Linked DNA regions of Oreochromis niloticus. The main gene of each other region encodes a partner of the protein of the gene in region 2 in a complex. Links are inferred from orthologs where the notes say so. Each region holds a gene or a part of one and is shown on either strand. Other genes may lie near its edges.

What was found. The genes of interacting proteins can lie anywhere in the genome.
Region 1: pigq (region 2) and dpm2 share a complex: the UniProt entries of both Homo sapiens proteins name them as parts of the glycosylphosphatidylinositol-N-acetylglucosaminyltransferase (GPI-GnT) complex. The link is inferred for Oreochromis niloticus from reciprocal best matches to the Homo sapiens genes PIGQ and DPM2.

The regions. Positions count from the first base shown.
Region 1 is NC_031972.2:34,764,444-34,774,192, reverse strand, and holds the start of dpm2 (dolichol phosphate-mannose biosynthesis regulatory protein), read right to left. Parts: upstream 4,774-9,749; 5' UTR 4,624-4,773; coding exon 4,621-4,623; intron 534-4,620; coding exon 444-533; intron 1-443. UniProt on the Homo sapiens protein: Regulates the biosynthesis of dolichol phosphate-mannose. Regulatory subunit of the dolichol-phosphate mannose (DPM) synthase complex; essential for the ER localization and stable expression of DPM1.
Region 2 is NC_031969.2:32,537,836-32,548,225, forward strand, and holds the start of pigq (phosphatidylinositol N-acetylglucosaminyltransferase subunit Q), read left to right. Parts: upstream 1-5,981; 5' UTR 5,982-6,061; intron 6,062-6,810; exon of another isoform or gene 6,811-6,939; intron 6,940-7,896; 5' UTR 7,897-7,934; coding exon 7,935-8,087; intron 8,088-8,277; coding exon 8,278-8,464; intron 8,465-8,837; coding exon 8,838-9,001; intron 9,002-9,133; coding exon 9,134-9,330; intron 9,331-10,390. Other genes in the region: alg1 (chitobiosyldiphosphodolichol beta-mannosyltransferase), read left to right, coding at 466-504, 589-648, 755-865, 970-1,084, 1,240-1,315, 1,979-2,113; protein-lysine N-methyltransferase EEF2KMT, read right to left, coding at 2,563-2,663, 3,220-3,369, 3,492-3,736, 3,814-3,947, 4,122-4,223, 4,346-4,426, 4,506-4,568, 4,943-5,050. UniProt on the Homo sapiens protein: Part of the glycosylphosphatidylinositol-N-acetylglucosaminyltransferase (GPI-GnT) complex that catalyzes the transfer of N-acetylglucosamine from UDP-N-acetylglucosamine to phosphatidylinositol and participates in the first step of GPI biosynthesis.

The sequences.
Region 1 (9,749 bases), on a different chromosome or scaffold from region 2:
CATTACATAAACTCTACAATGAGATTGTTCTAACCGACTATATCTCACGGCTTCCACAATCCACAAACCAACAAACTCACCAATTAAAAGCTTTTGGCTGGAACCTTGACTAAATTCATTCAAAGAATACACGGAAGTCTCAAATGAATAAAAAGATTGGGGTGACATATTCAGTTACATGAGCTGGGTGCTTGACTTGTAGCATGTGCTGGTGTAGTTTATGCAGCGCCAGCTCGGGAATTTGCTTTGTTGTCCCACAGGCTACTTAACATCAACCACAATTAAAACAACAATTTAACCCCCCAAAAAACACCAGCTTCCATATGTGTAACCTGCAGTTTCAGTGAGGCTGAAGTAAATTAATCTTCCAACCTGTCAGAGCCGTATTCAAGCCTTTCAATCCATGTGACTGATGTGATTTCAGTAAACTGAAGAGAACTTACCAGGACAATGACCCAGACAGAGTAGTACGTGAACAGCACGAGGCTGAAGACAACAAGACTCATGCCAGCGGCTTGATCCACTCCAGTAGCCTGAAAACACAGACACAGAAAAACTGAGCACGAGGACGTCGGTGTTAAACATGGAACTGGTGGTCGTTTGAAGCTTTATGCAGACTAATGACAATGTGGTTAAAAGTTTAAAGCCAGACGTCAGGCTGTCGTCAGAGGTGAGACACTAAATTTCCCATAAAGCAACTGGAGAGATCCTCCTTGTTGTTACTTGGATATTGAGCACACATCATGACACCGTCCTCCCCTGGCAAACATTAGCTTTGTAATTGTCAGTTTTGGCCAAATTAAAAATACTCATTAAGACTTTACATCACATCCTGACCAATAAACTGTGATTCTTCCTTTTTAAAACAAATGGCAAACAGCAACACGAGTAAATAACAACAAAAATTGCAGGTTAACTTTTACTAAAGAAAATTTGGATCAATATAAATAGTTATCTCTATCTACAGGCACTTTTATCAGGGTTCGTACGCTTTTTTCAGGGTCAAATTCAAGCACTTTTTAAGCACTTTCAAGGTCCCTTTTTAAGCTTTTCCAGCACAGCACCCCCCCCCCTCAAAAAAAGAATGCATGTTTCAATTTGCATCACTTCAGTACAATTTATCTAAATTGAGACAAAATTTAAAATACAAGTAGAAAGTGATATTTTTGACTGTAAAAACCACAAGCATGTTTAACAAATCATTTTCATAACTTGAAATGCAAATAAAAATTGGACATTTTTAAAAAATATGAACAAGTTTTGCAAACAACAAAGTTATATGGTACTATTTACCTAAAAATGCAGCCAAGGTCAGACGTTTTTTATATAACCATTCAAAACTATTTACAGAACAATCAGGTTTGCTGCATCAAATAAGAAGGCACACAAATTATTTATGCAACTCCAAAAAATAGTTTGTGTCCACTATAACACAGATGAGAACAGCACAGGGATAAACCTGCAGGTCTGACAGCAGGTGTGTCGCTCAGCGTTTATACTGCAATCTGCCTTTGGTGGCTTTTTTGCAGCAACTGTGACGTTCACTAGTAGAACTGACACAAAACAAAACGACTACACTACACACTAACTACACAAGATAACACACTAACTTGAGACTCCAAACATGATAAACATCACAAATCTTTCACGTATCAAAACCATTGGTCAATGATCAAAACTCTCTCTCTCTTTTTCGCTCACTCGCTCTCTCTTCCCAACAACCAAATACCACGTTGCCGTATCATTTTTTGATTGGTCGACATGGTACATTTTTCCACCAATAGGGAAGGAGTGTTTTTTCTTTTTTCACTCACAAGCAAAGCGTGTTTGCTAGCGCTCTCCATAAAAAACGCCGTTTTTACCATAAACGCCACTGTTTTATTCAGAACCTCCCCCCCCCCAAAAAAAAAAAAACATCGGTTTTACGTGACCTATCAACACAATTTAAAAACTGGTATATAGCTTGAAGTCCGCACGTTCGACCCAAGTTGAAATGGAGACTCTGGGTCCGTCGACCCCAGAGGGTTAATCAGAAAGCCTTAAGTTAGCTAGTTATGTATCGGGCTAATGTTTAAAGCTTTCACTTGAGTAAATTAACTCATATTACTGCTAAATAATGTTAGCTAAGTTCACAGCATATTCCGTAATAGCGCTGCCATACTGCATCACACTCAGTGCATTTCAATCATTTCTCCAGCGAGTTTGATAGCTAGCAAAATAATAATCATAATTTTTTTTTTTTTTTTAAAAATAGCATGTGTAACGTACGCGTACTGGAAAATTATTTACTAGGACTCACCTATCATGCGACTGGAGAACGTAAACTCCGCCATTGTTGTTTTCCCATCAAACACTCATTAAAACAGCAACCTACAGGTATGTTAGCGCACTCATCCCCGACTGTCCGAGGGAGGGGCGGGGTCACATATTGAAACAGAGGCAAGGCAGCCCAGGCGGGGAAATTTTGCTTTTGCGTCTCATTTTATTTCTCTGTCTGATAAGAAAACAATTCAATCAGATAGCTATTTATTGTGAATGAAATACAGTTACATTTTCAAGCACTTTTAAGCACCACATCTGAAATTCAAGCACTTTTCAAGCCTTGAAAAGACGACATTAGAATTCAAGCATTTTCAAGGATTTCAAGCACCCGTACGAACCCGGTTTTATAAACCCACATTTCAAAGGAAGTCATGTAATCAAAATAACGAGCATCAATCAACAAATAAATAAAAACTCAACAAGACTTTGATTCAATAGATCTCGAATCAAAAGATCCCCAGTATGAGGTCACGAAAACAACTGTTCCATCTACAAGGTCAATTGCAACTAAACATGACAACCTTTGCAGCTAAAACAACCACTGACACTACAGCAGCTTCAACTTCATCATTCATCTTCAACTAAATCAACCTCTAAACCAACTAATCATCTAAATTCACCATTGCAACTACACCTGCAACTAACTCTGGTGCTCCAGGTTAACTGGTTAGATTTGGTTACATGTTCTACTCTCCGTGTTCCAGATGTTGGATCTGCAGATTTGTCTCCTCTGTCTGTCAGTGAGTCTGCAGCTTGACAAGATTAAGGACCTTGGCAAAAAAAAAAAAAAAAAAAAAGTCTCCATCTGCAGCTTGTGCAAATGCACACACAGAGCAAAATTATCTTCAGACAACAAATAAATGATTTTGATAAAAAATAAATTAATCATAAAGTCTTCTGCCTGGTCTCGTACCCCTGTCTTTCTTTAACATAAATAACGAGCTGACGTTTTCTCAGGACACCACCGATCAGCTCAGCTGACCTCCACTTTCCCCTCTGAGTGACTGATCTGAGTTAAAGATGACAAACAATATTTAAAGGAGGAGCGATGGATGCTGAGCAGCAGGTCAGAAACACACACTTAAACCTACGTCCTGTTTCTCAGCTGACTGATAAGCTGCTAAGTGCTTTGTAATTCAGCTGTGAGTTTGGTGAGTTTTCTGAATATACTCGGATCTTGAAAGGATGATTTTTAGTCATTTCAGCAGATCAGTGGCAGAGCTATATTACTGAGGTACACAGGTACTAATCCAAACAGTATGGGTCATTAATTCTATTTATTTCATATGCAAACAGCCCAAATTCTCATTAAAGCAACAGGTTTGCTTATAAAGTGGTCCATCGCTCCATCCATTTAAATCCTGTTTGTCATCTTTAATCCAGATCGGTCACTCTGAGGGGGAACAAGCTCCAGCAGCTCTCCACTGAGGAAACAAACTACATTTACTTATTTTGTGCACAATATTGTCATGACGTCACGTTGTATTGCAGCAGCTGCCCAAGTTAAACTGTGACTGTCACCAGGTAACGGGGGCGTGTTTCCTGAATCAGCAGGTGTTAAACAGCTGACAGGTGAACAGGATCTACGCAGGTAAACTCGAGGGTCTTTGTTTATGTTACGAAAAGAAAGAAAGAAAGAAAGACAGAGCTAGGAGACCAGACGGAAGACTTCATGGTTTGTTTATTTATTTGTTTAAATTAAAACAATTTAAATGTTGTCTTAGGATAATATTGATGCGTGTATGCATTTTGCATCTTCACACTAACTCCATCAGCACCTGCCAATTAAACTAACAGCTCGAGCTACAACACTACCTCCACCGTAGCACGTCGACTCTGGCAGCTAAACCAACAAAAGCATCTGCAGCCACCAGGTGTTCCCCCACTTCCACAATAAGATGCATTAAAACGAGACAATAGAGAGAATCCCCTTTAATCTGCAACGGCACTGCGCAGCCGCACCAAACTTCATTCAAACCTTCACCGTTTCAGTTCATTTGATAATTATCAAAGATACTCGGTCTACTAACTTCATATACACGCAATATACGAATAAAAAACCACTGTCTGTAATTTCGGGGCTGAAAAATGTTACCAGGTCGGTTAACCTATAATCAGTTTTACACCAACCATGAAGCTAACTGCTAGCATGAAGCTAAAAGAAATAAATGTCACAGCCAAACAGCAAAGATTAGCTCTGAATCTAATTACGCTTAAACTGACGGAATTTCATTAAAGTATTAATTTGTCTCTGCTCGTTTATCAGCTGTTTAAAAGTAATCACAGCAGCTTTCTTACCATTTCTCATCCACAAAAAGGTAATGTTGTTATTTGCTGACGTAGCCTGGTGCTCTTCTTCCTGTTGAGTAATCCGGTTGATACGATTCATCTAATGGTCTCTGATGCCCTCTCGTGGTTCTTCTTCTTCTTCTTCTTCTTCTTTATAGTGTTTATTGGCAAACAGCAAAATGGTGCATTACCGCCAACAACTGGTGTGGAGTGTGGACCAAAATGACCAAAAAAAAGAAAAGAACATTGAAATCCACCCAAACAAATGAGTCTGCCTTAAAAACCAAAATATGGCCTGAAAACTTTCACTTTTAAAGTTCTTGCAAAATAAATCAACCAATTCCAGTTTCCAGTATACTGTCAAGCTTTTTCATCAGTTGTCTTCTTTCAGCATCGTATTTCTGACAATGCAATAAAACATGTTCTGTTTCCTGTCTTCTACTGCAGTCACAGTCCCCTCTACAGTGTTTCCCTATTAAAAGCAACATGCTATTCAAACCAGTGTGTCCAAATATAAGTCGATATATAACCATCTCATCTTTCCTGTTTGTTCCTGTGCCTTTAATTTCTCCTGTTTTCCTTTGGATTTTGTAAACACCCCCCCCGCCATTGCCTTTGACACCCTTCCTTCATTTTGTGCCATATTCCACTCTTGATCTCCATCCTAACACTGATATCCATATCCACCAACGGTCTCTTTGTAGCTTCCTTTGCCGTTCTGTCTGCCATTTAACTTCCCTTAACTCCATGATGTGCTGGTACCCATAAGAAGGTGACCATAAGCCCCATCATAGTAACTCTGAATAATGTTTGCTGAATTTCTATCACAATGTCCGGTCTGCAGTATGAGTGACTGTCTTGCAAACTAGCCAATGATGAACTCGAGTCTGAGCATATCACATATCTTAGTGGTCTTGTATCTTCAATCCACTGGACAGCTAACAGTACTGACACCATTTGATTACCATCACTGATCCTTTTCCCTACCTTGATATTAAATTCAGGAACAATAAAGGCTATCCCGCTTTGGTTGGCTGTATTCTTTGATGCATCTGTGTAGATTTTGACAGAACTGTAATACTGATTAATATATTCCTGCACTGTATGTGAATACAGAATAATATTCTTTTTGTTTAATAGTGTGAAATATACTACTGGTTCAGGGAGTATCCAAGGTGGTATTGCAGGCAACAGTACTGTTTGACTTATGTTGATCTTGTCCAAATTAAATTCAGCTGCTTTCTGTCAACCCAAAGCTCTTCAATTCTCTTTTCTCTTTTTCCCAGCATGGTTGGAAAATAGTTTTTGTTGGATGATCTTGACCATGTCCTTGTAAAGCCCTCTCGTGGTTTACCTGCTACTGCAGCTTCATAGATCACAGCATCACACACGCATGTTTGAGGCAAATAACCATAAAAACAGCGAAACAAAACAAACGAAAAAATTCATTTGGTTGACACGTTGTATTCAGAATCTTAAAAAATATTTTATAATCACCCCACAAACCATAAAATACTGTTGACAGACATTATAAAAATAAATTTTTGCTTTATTTTAATGTGAATAAAAGCAGAATAATTAGATAATGATTTTATACCTGCACTGAAGTGGAAAATAGTAAGGAGCAAATGAAATGCTACAACAGAAAAATTCTTATTGTCCTTCAGAAAATTAAAGCTCTTTGGTTTCAGGCCATTTAAATATTTCAGTAAGTTGAAGTGCCCCTGGTTTTCTTCGAGATGCTTTTTATGAGATGAATTTTTCCCCCATTCTTGTTCCATGTCTGGAGTTTGACAGTAAATCTAGAAGTCAAAACCAGGCCTTTGATGTCCTGATGGATCATCACAATAACAGCTGACATGTTTTATTGCAGAGCAAAGACAGCTTTTAAGAGGAAGAACCACTCTGTGAATTCTGTAAACAGTGATGTGAGGCCATCCATCTGAAAGTTCAAAGTTGAATTAGAACTGGACTTTTCAACACTACTAATGATCCTTAGTACAACAAATCCACCAAAGAAGGACTCAAAAAGAAGAAAGGAATGAGAACCAGATTCCTTTCATTCCTGGAGCATCAAATAACAGCGTTTTGGCATTGCTGCGTGCGCGTTTCAGGTATGCACAAGGTGTCCTTTGGTGCTGTCGTGCCTAAACCAAACAACTCTCAGGGCCTAAACCTAACTAGTGAGTGGCAAAAAAGGAGGTCAGTAGGTGAGAAAAGAGAGTCCAAGTGCAAATCAAGAAGGTCCAATCAGGTCCACAGTTCCCTGGCTGCAGGGTTGATCTGTACGGTGAGTTTGTGGCACCCTGGATAATAATGCCTTATTCAAAGCACAGATCTAGAAGTAAAGATAATTTTTCCATTTTTTTATTTTTTTTTTATTTTTTTTTTAAAAAGTGGATGAAAGATTTTGGCAGGTTATCATCAGAGACTGGTGGACAATCATGCAAAACGCCAAAAAGTAATTTCTACTAAAGATGGCAAAAGTGACTTGTGATGTCAGAGGTGTAGTTATTCTTTTCTATAGAATAATTTCACTTAAAACGATAATAGTTTTGTTTAGCTGATGATCAGAAAGTCAAGTTTCCCTCTTGTTGTTCAAATATACCACGTTCTCCTGAAGGCATCAGTTCAACTTTTGTTTGTCTCCATATTTTCATTGCATGTACTTACATGTACGTGACTGTATATAATAGCGCTTGTGTTAAGGTGTAGTATCACATGACATGTGCAAACAAACAGATGAATCTTCGGCAGTTAAAGAAAGAAGAGACTTTGACAGTTTATTTGGTTTTCATGTTCATCACAACTCCTCTGTTTACATGTAGTTATTAACAGGTCAGATCATCTGAATTCTTGAAATATTTCCTGGTATTTTAACACAAGGAGTGAAAATATGTGTGCATGGAGTTAGAAAGCATTTGAAAATAAAACAAAACTGATTTTTCTTTCTCAAAAAACCCAGAAATGCACCAATTTATGCAACAAAATTATTTTCACCCAACATTAATGCTTATATTAGATATTTTATATGCATTTATTATATTTCTACACATTAAGTGATTTTACCTTTAATATAAATACGTTTTAAAATATGGTAGAAAGTGTTTTGTGAAGTATATATTCCCTTTACCAAACCCCATCTTGTTAAATCAGTACCACAGCTACCAATGCAATATAACCCTGGCCCCAACAATTTAATTTCAAATAATCAGAAATGATAATAATAATAAAAAAAAAAAACATTTCACCACATGCAGAAATAGAAACACTTGCTTAATAAGATCACAAGGTTACATATGGTCAAGTACAAAGAAAGAGTAAGTATTTCTAGAACAAATCACAGTGGCAGACAGATCCCATTACTGCATACTTTCCCCAGTAACCGCAGGCTTCACTGTAAATAATTACTGTTTAGTCACATCTTACCATAAAATATAAGCTTTTACACACAGATCCGTGCTGCAGACCAGCCTGCTGGTCTGGAAATAAAAGGAAAATAGACTATATGGTTACCACATCACACATTTCGTACACACACACACACACACACCAATGTGGACTGTTAATGGAAAATATGGCAATAAAGGTATGTGTATAATTATTAAATAGTACAGGTTAAAGTTGGGGATCACTTAGAAAAGTGCTTTAAAAATTCATGTATCATAAAATTAATCAGAAATGTTGTACATGTATCTATGACAGACTGTTACCTAATGCAACAGTGTGTACTACTCCCTTCAGTCTGACTGTTATGGTTTCCGTCTAATGAAGCTGCAGTCTGAACACCTGTCACCTCTTTTATCCAAACACCCTTATGGAGTTTGTCAGTATTGAACCTCTTTCTTTTCTGGTGACAGCCAGTTACTGTGGAGGGAATAATACACATGACTGCATGAAAATGTCTGCCTGTACCTCTGCCTGTCCCATTACTGAAAATAAACACAAAAACAAAAACAGTTTTTGCCAGATAAAGTGAGAATTTCAGGTTATTATCTAAAGAATCCAAGTTACTAGTTCAAACGTCTGAGAAAATAACTTCTTCTTTCAGTGACAGAAACAAGCTTCCACATTCGACAAATTATGAAAGCTGTGGATAACATCCAGAGACTAACTACTTTATCTAATGATTAGTAGGCTTTTTAATATGATAAACTTTCAATGGTTAACACAATATCGGAGGGTTTATAATTAACAGTTTCATTAATCACAAATTTTTATATAAAATAGTTAACATGAATTTAATGTTATATTAAATAAAAAAAATCTACTTTATTTTCAGAAAGAAGGACTTTTCTAAGCAATCCCAAACTTTTGAGGAGTGGTGAACCTAACAAACCTCTAGATGTCCCAAGTATCCAGTACTTGCTTACAACTTACTTACACTTTTGCATGACTTGATGCACCAGAAAGCTTAAAAAAACTGTCTTTTATACAGTACATCCTTTCATATCAGTCAGAGATGCATGGCCCGCATGCACATCTTGCAGCATGAACATAATCACAAATGCACAAATGAGTCCCGTGGGGGGGTGAAGATCTATTGTATACTGTCAGTACTCACACAACAGAGGCTTTGTGCTGCTGCAGCTGTGGGACTGACCTCACTACAGCCAACACCAGCCCACAGTATCACTGCTAGCTCAACACGCTAAGTCTGCACAAGCCTTGCAAAAGCAATGGGGAAAAAGGAGTTTTACTTTCCTTGCACATGCACAAAACTTAAACTGTCCAAAGCTACAAACTGCAAAGAGTTCTGATTGAAGTTAATATTTTTGGTAAAAACACTGCTTTGTTTGTCAGTGTGAAGCCAGAACGTCAGCAGGCAGTGAGCAAGTAAAACGACATTAACTATGGTTCTAAAGGTGAATGAGCGCCTAAATGCATGGATGCATAAATAGGCAACATTTGCTAATGCTAATATTGTGATTATAGCCATTTTTCCTGCTAATGTCAATTTCTGTTTAGCTTGTTGTAATGTCACTTGTTGTTAAAGAGGATTTATTTCTTACTTTCTGTTAAATATATAATATTATAATGTTACATATTTTACAAAAATGAGGTAAACACTGATAAGAGTAGTTCCTGTGAGCCAAACAACATTCTGCTCTCATGATGTGCTGATGTCAGTTTTGCAC
Region 2 (10,390 bases):
TTAATCATATTTTAATGATCAGGAATAAATCGTCTGAATTTATAGAAACAAAACAGAAGTTACTGTTTGGAGGTCGTGACCTCCGCTCCAGCGGCGTCCTCGGCCCGTTCAGGATTTACAGGAAAGGATTTTGGGAGCGACGGTTTAACTTTAAGTCCTGCTGAGAATCTCGGGGTAAAGAGATCTCAGTGTGAAAATAAAGGTAATAATAATAAATCCTGCTGTCAAAGATGAAATTTGAGTTTTTTTCTTGGGAAAAGGGAATTAAACTCCCGGCGTTCCTCGTCATTGACGCAAACACGATGCGGGGAATATCGGGATGTGCGAGGACGCTCACTGAAGGTTTCTGTTTGCAGCTTCTGTTGCAAACAGAATGTAAAATTTTCCAAATTCAGCCAGTTTCACTTTATTTATTTTGCACCTTCAGCTGCAAACACTGATTCAGGATATTTTTTTTCTCTGCAGAGGACGAAGATTTCTCCATCCTGCTGACGGCCCTCGAAGGTGCGACCTGCTGTTTCAGAAACTAAAGTTTAAAAAAATCCATGAAACGTGTTTCCTCACCTGTCGCCTGTTTGTTCCCACCAGAGTACGAAGGTTTCATAAAGGGAGGAGCTTCCTTACCACCTTTACTCTGCGTGATCACAGGTAGTCCAGCTCGCTCCTTACAGATTAGAACCTCCAGTAATTTTGAGTTTTCCTTTATTCAGAAAACGTTTCCGCTCACTCTGTGTGTTTTTGTGCGTTTGTGCAGGTAAGGGTCCTCAGAAGGAACACTACATGAAGCTCATCGACTCCCTGCACCTGGAGCACGTGAAGATCTGCACCCCCTGGCTGGAGGCTGAAGATTACCCTCTGCTTTTAGGTATTTTAGTATTTATTTTGTCTGTTCGACCAGTTTAGTCTCACTCGTGTTTGCGCACAAAGGTTTAGCAGGTCGTTGGAGGAGTTTTCTTCTCTGTCGTCCAGGCTCAGCAGATCTGGGTGTTTGTCTCCACAAGTCGTCCAGCGGTCTGGATCTGCCCATGAAGGTGGTGGACATGTTTGGCTGCTGCCTCCCCGTCTGCGCCATCCACTTCAACTGGTGAGCTGACCTCTTAACCCTGCATGCTTTCTAGTGGCCAGGAGGGGGCGACTCCTCTGGCTGCAAAGGAAAATGCTCATCAGTGACCTCTGTAAATACCTCCCTCTCTGAGACTGTGCTTCCTAAATCTGACTCTGCGGTCTCTTTTTCACCAGTTTGGATGAGCTGGTGAAGCACGAGGAGAACGGGCTGATCTTCAAAGACTCTGCAGAGCTCGCCGAGCAGCTGAAGGTGAGAGACGCCTGTAAACCAGTCACATGATCAGGAGAAAGATTCAGGCAGAACCTCATATGAACTCTGATATCTACCAACAGTTATGCTTCTCTGAAAGTGAACACGATTGATTTAAGAATAGACTGTATATAAAAGATGGTTTTGTGGGTTCTGAAGTGTGAGTCAAGTGGCCATATCTGTGATGAGAGGGTGACACAGGCGGCTGTAGCTGCTAGCTGTCTGCTGGGCTTCACCTCAGCTAACTGGAGTCCCTGAACTGGACCTCTGGACCGTGTTTGTGCTGTTGGAGCATTTTTAATAACATCATGTGACCAATAACATGGCTGCTGTGAGGCGACTGTACTAACAGACTGTCCAAGAAATCTGAGCCACAGTTTTGTGAGTGAAATTCTAGGATTTTAATAGTTAATAGCTAATTATTTATATAGCATGGTAGCTAGCTAGCATTAGCTGATACCTTAGCACTCCACCTTCTCTCTTCTAGCCTCAAAAAAACCAAACGGGGTGATCGACACGCTCAGAATGAGGCTTCAGAGCCCAAATAAGAAACAAGTGATATAGCAGCAGTTATTTCCATCTTTTACTTACAGTCTCTGATTAGGAGTCACCACCTTTCAGAAATTGAACCTTCTCATAAATGCTGAACGTTTATGTTTCCAGGCTCTCCTGTCAGATTTTCCCAGTTCAGACGGCAAACTGGGAACCTTCAGGAGGAACCTCCGCGCCAGCAGGGGACAGTGCTGGGATGACAACTGGGACCAGAACGTCCTTCCTCTAATCACTGCTCCGAGATAACTTTGGCTGTATTTAGAGAGCTAGACAGTGCTGCTGTTTTAAAACCATTTCTTTTATTCATGAAAGTCTCGCTTTCTAAGCCCTACTGGGCACGTGCAGTAGACATCACCATGGAAACAAGCCTTTTTTTCCTCGTATGCCGGGTGAGCACTTTTCATGGAATAAAGTAGGCCCAGCCTTTGAGTCCAGTATCCAGTGAATGCCTGGATGATATGAGCTCCAGTTACAGCAGAGTGAGAGCGCAAAGGACCAAAACTGTTTGCTTGGGTGTTTTATGATAAATGTACATTTAAAATTTAAATGGATCAGCGGGTGAAAAGACCGAAGTCTTCTGAGGTCTTCTTTTTATTCCTGACGTTTTTCCTTCTTCACTTGAATGTACAAAGGAAGTTGTCATGACGATGGAGATGTACATTTGTAAATAAAATCTTTATCATGCTCCCCCCGTGTCATCTGCACAGTTTGATGAGCTCTATAGCCGACTGTCTGTTATAAGGAAACACATGGTTGACAGGTCCTGGGATCACTTCATGGCCGACTCCTTCAGTTTCTGCCAAAACAAACAAACAAATAATGACTTTATTCAAGATGCTTTATACAAACCAAGGTCCTGCACTCTGTATAAAATCATCTTCATAGTTCCCCAAGCACGCCTCAAAAACAACTATTATTATTTATTCCCACTGTAACCAGGAAGTATCCAGGATCAAATCTGGCCAGATTTCTCTCTGCAGGCTCGTTTTGTCCACACTGGAACGTCTGAGTGTTTACTGTGAGCTGTCCCAGTTTCTTTTTGCTTCATTTTCTTTCATGAATTGTGGACACTGTGCACAGCTGGTTAAAGAACTACTTACTACAGCAAACCACAGTATTTTTCCCCGTGTGATGTTTACTGTTCATTTCAGGCAGCAAACACGTTTTTGTGTGTGACGCTGATGAAACTCCGCCGCCAGACTCGAGCGTGAGGTCGATAACGTGACGTTAGCATGAGCCAAAGAGGCACAGCAGAACGTTAGGTTTAAGTAAACCAGACTCTGATCAGCTTTAAGTCTGAATTAATCTGAACTATCTTCAGCACAGCCTCCTCCTCCTCAGCGTTGTCTTACCAAGCTGCTGTTTGAAGCCGCCGTACGTCTCCAGGTTCCTTATCGTGGAGCAGACGAAGACCTGAGGGAGAACCTCAGCAGACGAACACCTCATGACAATGGACAGCAGCTTCGCCAGACTTCCTGCAATGTCAGGGTCGTACACCACGTCTGCACCACGACAAACAAACAACAGGAATCTGAGAAAGCAGAGTGTCAAGAGCTCCATAAAAGCTGGAACAGACTGAGGTGTGTGAATGTGTGTCCACGCCATCTCGCTCCATAAATCTGACCTGCGGCGATGATGATGTCAGCCCCAATCTCCCTCAGCTCTTCCTCTGAGGTTGCCGTCCAGTCCAGCTTCTCCACGCTGACCGCTGGGGTCGTCTGCTCGCTCAGCCCGTTCAGCTGGACGTTGTCTCTGAGTTTCTGCAGCACTCTGCAGTGACAGTCACTGAAGATGAATCGCTTTGGGCTGCACGACCGACAGACGGCGATACCCGTCAACCCCGCGCCGCTGCCCAGCTCCAGCACCGTCCTGAAGGAGGAGGAGAAAATTTAAAAGCTGCAGAGGCTCCACCTGGAGGGCGACAACCTGCAGATCCTTCAGCTTACCTGCCAGCAAAGACCTGCTGGTTCTCCAGAGCCCACTCCGCCAGGTAAAGAGCCGCCTCCCACGTCACCAGCCCGGTGGTCCCCTCTGAGATCAGAGCAATGTTCTCCATCAAGCTCACAGCGCCACCAGCAGGCTGCGGGACACAAACATGGCTGCACTTCAAATTAAGACTCCAGCAAGCAACAGCTGGCAAAAGTAGGGCCGGGCGATTCAGACCAAAAATTAGATCTTGATATTTTTATGGCACAAAACAAATAATTTGATATAAAGGTGACAGTGACGCTGAGGGTTTTCCTGTGTGCAGTACCAGCAGGTAGCTCTTGTAGCACTCCGTGGTCTCCTCAGTGCCCACCACCTCAGCCAGAGCATCATACAGCTCATCCAGAGGTTCACAGCCTGAAGCTTCCAGCTGTGGAGGAAGAAACCAGGAAGCACACAGCCGGGTTTTACTCTGTGATCGAGTATTTCAACATCTTTCTGTCCAGAGGGAAAAAAACTCAACTAATAATCTGAGAGTTAACCTCTCCTTACCCGTCTGATGAGCTCGGAGAGAAACAGCCTCCTGTATCTGACTGAAGGTGCAAACTTCCGGCACAGGGGATGAAGACACGTCTGTAAAAACACGTGACTGTTCATTACACTAACGAAGCTGAGCTGTTTTAGGATTACAGCACGATGGAGGAACACTCACCTGTTTCAGCACCTGTGAAATGAGCTCTGATGACCCGCTGCTCTGAAGGTCTTTTTCTACAAACTGTAAGCAGATAAAAGTTATACAGAGGACATTACAGAGGTTTAAGTCACATTTTAAGTTCAATTCAAGTCATTCACATAGAGCCAAATCACAAAACACACGCCTCAAGGAGCTTAATATTATAAGGCAGACCCTACAATAACCCCAACAATCAGACGACCCCCATGAGCAAGCACTGGGCGACAGTGGAAAGGAAAAAATGTCCTTTAAAGGGAAGAAATCTCCGGCAGAACCAGGCTCAGCCGAATTATTCAGGGGGGTCCCCTGACTGATTTCATTGCTTTACTCGTGTTTTACAGGCAGCGGGTTTGTGGCCAGCTTTGGTGCTCTAATGCGCAGATTTCTGAATGAAGTTCGGCCAGTCTCATACTCACAGTCCAGGGAAACGAAGGCAGCCGACTCATAGCGAAAAACGACACCTGGAACTCCTTTAAAACCTCTCTAACTGAACCCTGCACTGAGGACTGCTCTGAAAGCGCCATCTTACACGTGTATTTGTTTACTTCCTATTTACCCATAATCCTGCGCGACCGTCTCTCGCTAGAGCCTCTGGGTAGTGAAGTTTATCTGTAGGTTTGAGCATAGTCTACCTTTTTTAAAGCTACAGAGAGCTAAGTGCATGTGTGTAAAACATACATGACATATTACACACTTCTTTTAAATTATTGTATATTTTTATTAGTGAACATTTTTTTATTTAAATGTAATGTTTTGTATTAATTGGAACTTACCTTCATTTTGAACCAGAGTGTGTGTTTTTTCTGGGGCTTTTCTTAACCTTTTTATACAGTTTCTGTTGCTCTCTGTGTGTTTTCCTTTTCCTTTTAGTTTGGAGGGTCTTTGGACATCATCACCATCAGAGATGCTGGAGTGCTCTGATTATGGTCTCATCATATTTTAGCTAAAAGGTTCAGGATTCAAGTCCAGCAAATGTGTTTTTCTACTTTTAAGGTCAAAATTAAAGGTTGCCATTCCTGTGGCTCTCCTCTGTATCATGAGATCAAACCTCCAGACAACCCACTTCTCCCGCAGGTAATCTTGTGCTTTAAAGATCTTCTGTGTAAGAGTTTTCTGAATTAAAATCATGTATACTTTTGTTTTAAGGAGGTTTTGTCTGTTTTGTTCGTATGCATGTTTTGTAACCTCAGAGTAAATTTCTGATCCATCAGAGCTGCTGGAGAGCTCAGCTGGTTCTGTCTGTCAGTGGATTTTAACACTGAGGCTCAAGGTTCAAGTCCAGCTGCAGTTCTTATTGAATTGAATCTTTCCTTTATGCCAGCTTCAGCAGCTCGGTGAGATGAATAAAAGGTCATTTTCATTTAGGAACCTGTGATATCTGCTGATATCTGAGAAGCTTTCAGTCAGATCTGCTGCTGTGGCCTTGAATCTTCCCGCTCTTTTCTTGCTGTGTCACTGCAGCCGCAGATAAAATCTCTTCAGTTGGACCAACTGTGCATTCACAGCAGCAGCTCCAGCACACTGAGCATTTACTGGTGAGTATGAGCTGATTATTTTTAAACATCAGTTTGATCATTTCACTTGGTTTTCTTAACAGAAAAAAAGAATCTAAGAGAAACTAACGATTTTGATTATTTGTGGATTTTTTTGAATCTCACTGTTGGGTCTATACAAGTTTTCCTTCCAAGCAAATTATAAATGTTGTTATAATATTATAATACATTATTATTATTTTAAAAAAGAATACATGAAGACAATGAATATAGAATGCTTTTCATAGAGGAAATAACCGTATAAATTAATTTTAAAAGGATTAGCAGAAACACGAATTACTGTTTTCAAAATCAGAGGAGCGTCTTGTGACCAATGCTGAGGCCTGTTAACGTGGTAAAATGTAATTTTAAAGCATACATTATAAATTCAGCGTAAACTGGAATTATTAGTAGGAAGAACTACATGTTGACTTTAACTGATTATTTTATTGTTCTGTGATGTTTTGGTTTGAAAGGTTTTCCCTGATGGATCAATACCTTCATTCAGACATTACAATTCAGAAAATCCAGATCAAACTATTATCAGCATAACAAGAAAACAACAAGAAATGTAAACTAATAGAGTGACTTTTCAAAATAACATTAACAATTCCCTTTCAAATTAATGCAAGACCACTGTTTAAGGAAGTTGTTAAAATATAAATTTAAAATATGAATTAAAAAAAACTTTGAAATATGTGAGACTTTTAATTGTTTCGAAAATTGAAATCTAATCGCAGTAAGAGGAACACAGCACAGTCATTAACGCGTGTTTCTCTCCGGAGCGTTTTATCGCACGGACTGTCAACAACTAAGATGGCTCCGGCGGCTCGTACGTAGCTGCAGAGGGAAGGTGAACTCTTGTTTTCGTGTTAAAGAAGGTAAAGGGTGCATTTTTAACACTCATGTCTCGTCTCCGCGGTGATGTTAGCCAGTTTGATGTTTCCGCTGTTTCTTCGAGCTTCAGTTCATTGATTTTAAAACACTTTTAACGAAAAATAATGAAAAATGCGAAGAACTTTGAGGTGGTTGTCAGTTTGGGGACACAATAAAGCAGCAGTGTGGGGTGTCACTCTTCTCTTTGACGTGTTGGGTAATTTCTTTATGCTCCCGCGGTTACTCTATATAACACTGCAGATAAAACTGCAGCTGACCGGCTTCGTGGTCTCGGAAATCAATGGCATTCCTGCCCCGGGGCTTCCTGTGGTGCTCCAATCTGATTTCTGATTGAAGGGCAAAAAACGAGGACAGCCGTCTCTAACCCTGTTCCGTTCTGTCGCCAAACTTCATTAAAAAATGGAAAATTGAGTGGTTTTCCTGCGGTAGCGCTTATACTGGAAAAGCAGGGATATTTTTCATTAAGAAAAACAACCTCTTTGTCTCCTCGGCAGGTATTTCGTGCTTGATTACTGTTTCTCTTGTGTATATACACACATGCAGACTGTTTCGCACACATGGATTAGACCTGTTCCTAAATGAAGAGAAGTATTCCGTGAAGGTGTCCCACTGAAAACAGGTCCAGGCTTAATCCATGTTTTTTAAAAGCTTTTTCCTCGATGCTTTACTTTTACCGCCATCTTTGATGTTGTAAAATGTTCACATAAATTGTATTTCAGAATTCTTTGATTTCCAAGTTTGACTTTTGTAATATATCTGCTGCTGGCAGTGAGTTTTCCAGTGTTAGACGAGTGTCTCAAACTGAGGTGTGGACACCAATGAGGGACCTGCACGCACTAATCAGCACGCGTATCTGTGATGAAGGATTTCTCCGTCAGGGCGGTAACTGTAAACTTGTAACTGAAGTTAAAGTTTACCTCTGCTTGTTTTATTTCCCTCAGATCATTAGAGCTGCTGGACTCTGAGCCACAGTGCAGTCATGGTGCTGAAGATTTTCTTCCCACAGTGCTGTAACCGGGCGGAGAGCGGGCTGCTGGTGGGCCGCTGGATCTCTGGTCATGACTCAGCCGTGGTGCTGGCGGTCATTCACTACCCCTTCATACCCGGGCAGGTCAAACAGTACATCCAGCAGGTTGGTGATTATAAAGAGGGAGCTGAGTCTTTGTAGGGCACTAGTTGTCCAGTAGGTGTCACCTTTGTGTTTCGAATGAAACACAATGCAGAGGAAAACTTTTAGTTGGATTGCAGATGATCAGATTAATCCATTCAGCAACGTGAGCCAGACTTCAGTCCCTCATCCTTCCTCTGTGTTCGTCTCTAAGATGCAGGCCCAGAGCGGGGTGGAGCTGACGGTACTCGGCTCCTGGAGTTTACCTAAAGAGGGTCAGGAGAGCATGGAGAGCTTCCTCAGGGACCTCAGCACCATCTTCCCCCAGCAGCGCTGGCTCCAAGTCAGTCGCCAAATGGGAAAGATGGGCTTCATCTGTGAGGTCGTCAACCGGAACCAAAGTAAGATCCTCAGACTGGAATCTGCTTCCTCCTTGGATTTTTCTTTTCCACATTTTTTTTATTTTGGACTGTGCTAGAGTAGCTTTGCATGATTCTCAGCTCAAAATAATCCTCATTTATCTTAAACAGGGCATCGGTACAGCTTAGCAATTCATCCTGTCTGAACTAAGCGGCTTTAGCTCCTCCCATTCTTTTAAGCCTGAAATGATAGTTCTCCTTTTTCACAGCTGTCTTTCATTTATTTATTTATCTCATTTATTTATCTAAGAGTTTGTCTCTGTTTTTAATTTTTTTTTTTTTTTTTTTTAAATAAAATGTCCTTTATTTAATTTGAAAGTTGCATTTCCTGTGCTCTGATTTTAATAACTTTCAGATGGGCAAGAAACTCAGCAGGAAGCAAAAAAGCAAAATGAGGAGGAGGAGGAGAAGGTGATCTTTGTCCACTATGAGCAGAGGAAGGTGATGCTGTCGCAGCTCCACCCCACTGAGAGCGGAGATCCTGACCCCAACACCGAGCCGTCGTCTGAGCTGAAACAGGTAGAGAGGAGAAAAAAGCTGTGATGTGTCCATGTTGGTGCAAAGCTCTCAAATCAGCTCCACCAACATGCGTCCAATCCCTGATGTGGGCAGCTGGTGATCTCTCACATGCTGCTGCTCTTCCTGTTGCAGGTGTTCCAGACGGTGGCACGCAGCCAGCCTCTGTTCTTCCTGGATCGCTATGACGACGGGCCGCTGAAGTCGACTCACTGGCAGTCTGAAGGCCGGGAGGCCAGCATCATCGTGGAGCTGCTTAAACAGGCCTCAGTGCCGCTGTGCATGCTCATCAGCTGGCTGCTCGCCTTGTGGACGTGGATCTGTAACATCCGGTAAGAGGAAGGAAGCTACAGCTGAGAGATTTTATATACTGATCAATCAGCTGATTGATTTATCGTAGATTGCCCTCCCCCAGCTGGAAACGGCACAAAACATCCAGTTAATTCATGACGAATAAACCACAAACTAATCCTGCCGCGCCTTCTTTCACCGTTTGTTTCTGCACGAGATGATTCTTGTTCAGTGGTTTCGACTTTGCGTGTTTTAATTTCAGTGAGTTTATGCATTTTAAAACCTTCACATAGAATAAAAAAAAAAACTCATTTCAAGCAATCTGCTCAAGTCCTGTTTGTGCAAAAGACTAAAATGCCTCTAAAAAATCAAAGCATGGATTAAGTTCGAGGTAGTTACACTTTTATTAGATCTGAGCATTTGGGTGTGTTAATCTGTTAATAAAGACTGATGGAAAAGCTTAAAAAAGCTGTATAGTGAAAACAAGTAATAGAGAGTCTCAGATTTTTTTATTTCTACCGTTTATCCAAGACGAGGCTAACAAATGGAAATCTAAGAGATGCACAGGCCTCCCTCTGCACCTCCTCCAGCTCTTCTGAGAGGAGCTTTAAGATCCTTCCAAGCTAGCAGAGAGAGATAATCTATCGAGCAGCTTCTGGCTCTGCTGCAGGACCTCACCCACTTTGATATGCCCAAAATGCCGCAGCTTTGAGGCAGCCAGGAGGCATCCCAGTCAGATGCTGAGCCACCCCAGCTGGCTCCTTTTAATGTGGAGGTGCAGCATCATTACGCACGTTTCTGCTGCTTGTATCCTCAGACTCACTCTGTTGGTCTCATGGTCATAGGTGAAGTAGGAACGTAGCTCAGCCGGTGAATCGACAGCTTTGCTTTCAAACTCGGTTCTCTGTTCACCACAACTGACTTGTATTACTCCACAGACTTGGAGTAATGCAAAGCTGATTTTTAACCTGGATAAAAATTATTGTTTGAATTGAAGAAGCAACTGTACTCTTCCTGCTTCATTCTTTCTCTTGCTCTTATTTATTAGTCCAACATTTATTGTAAGAAAAGTCCCAACCGCAGCTGTAAAGCTCTAAGCTG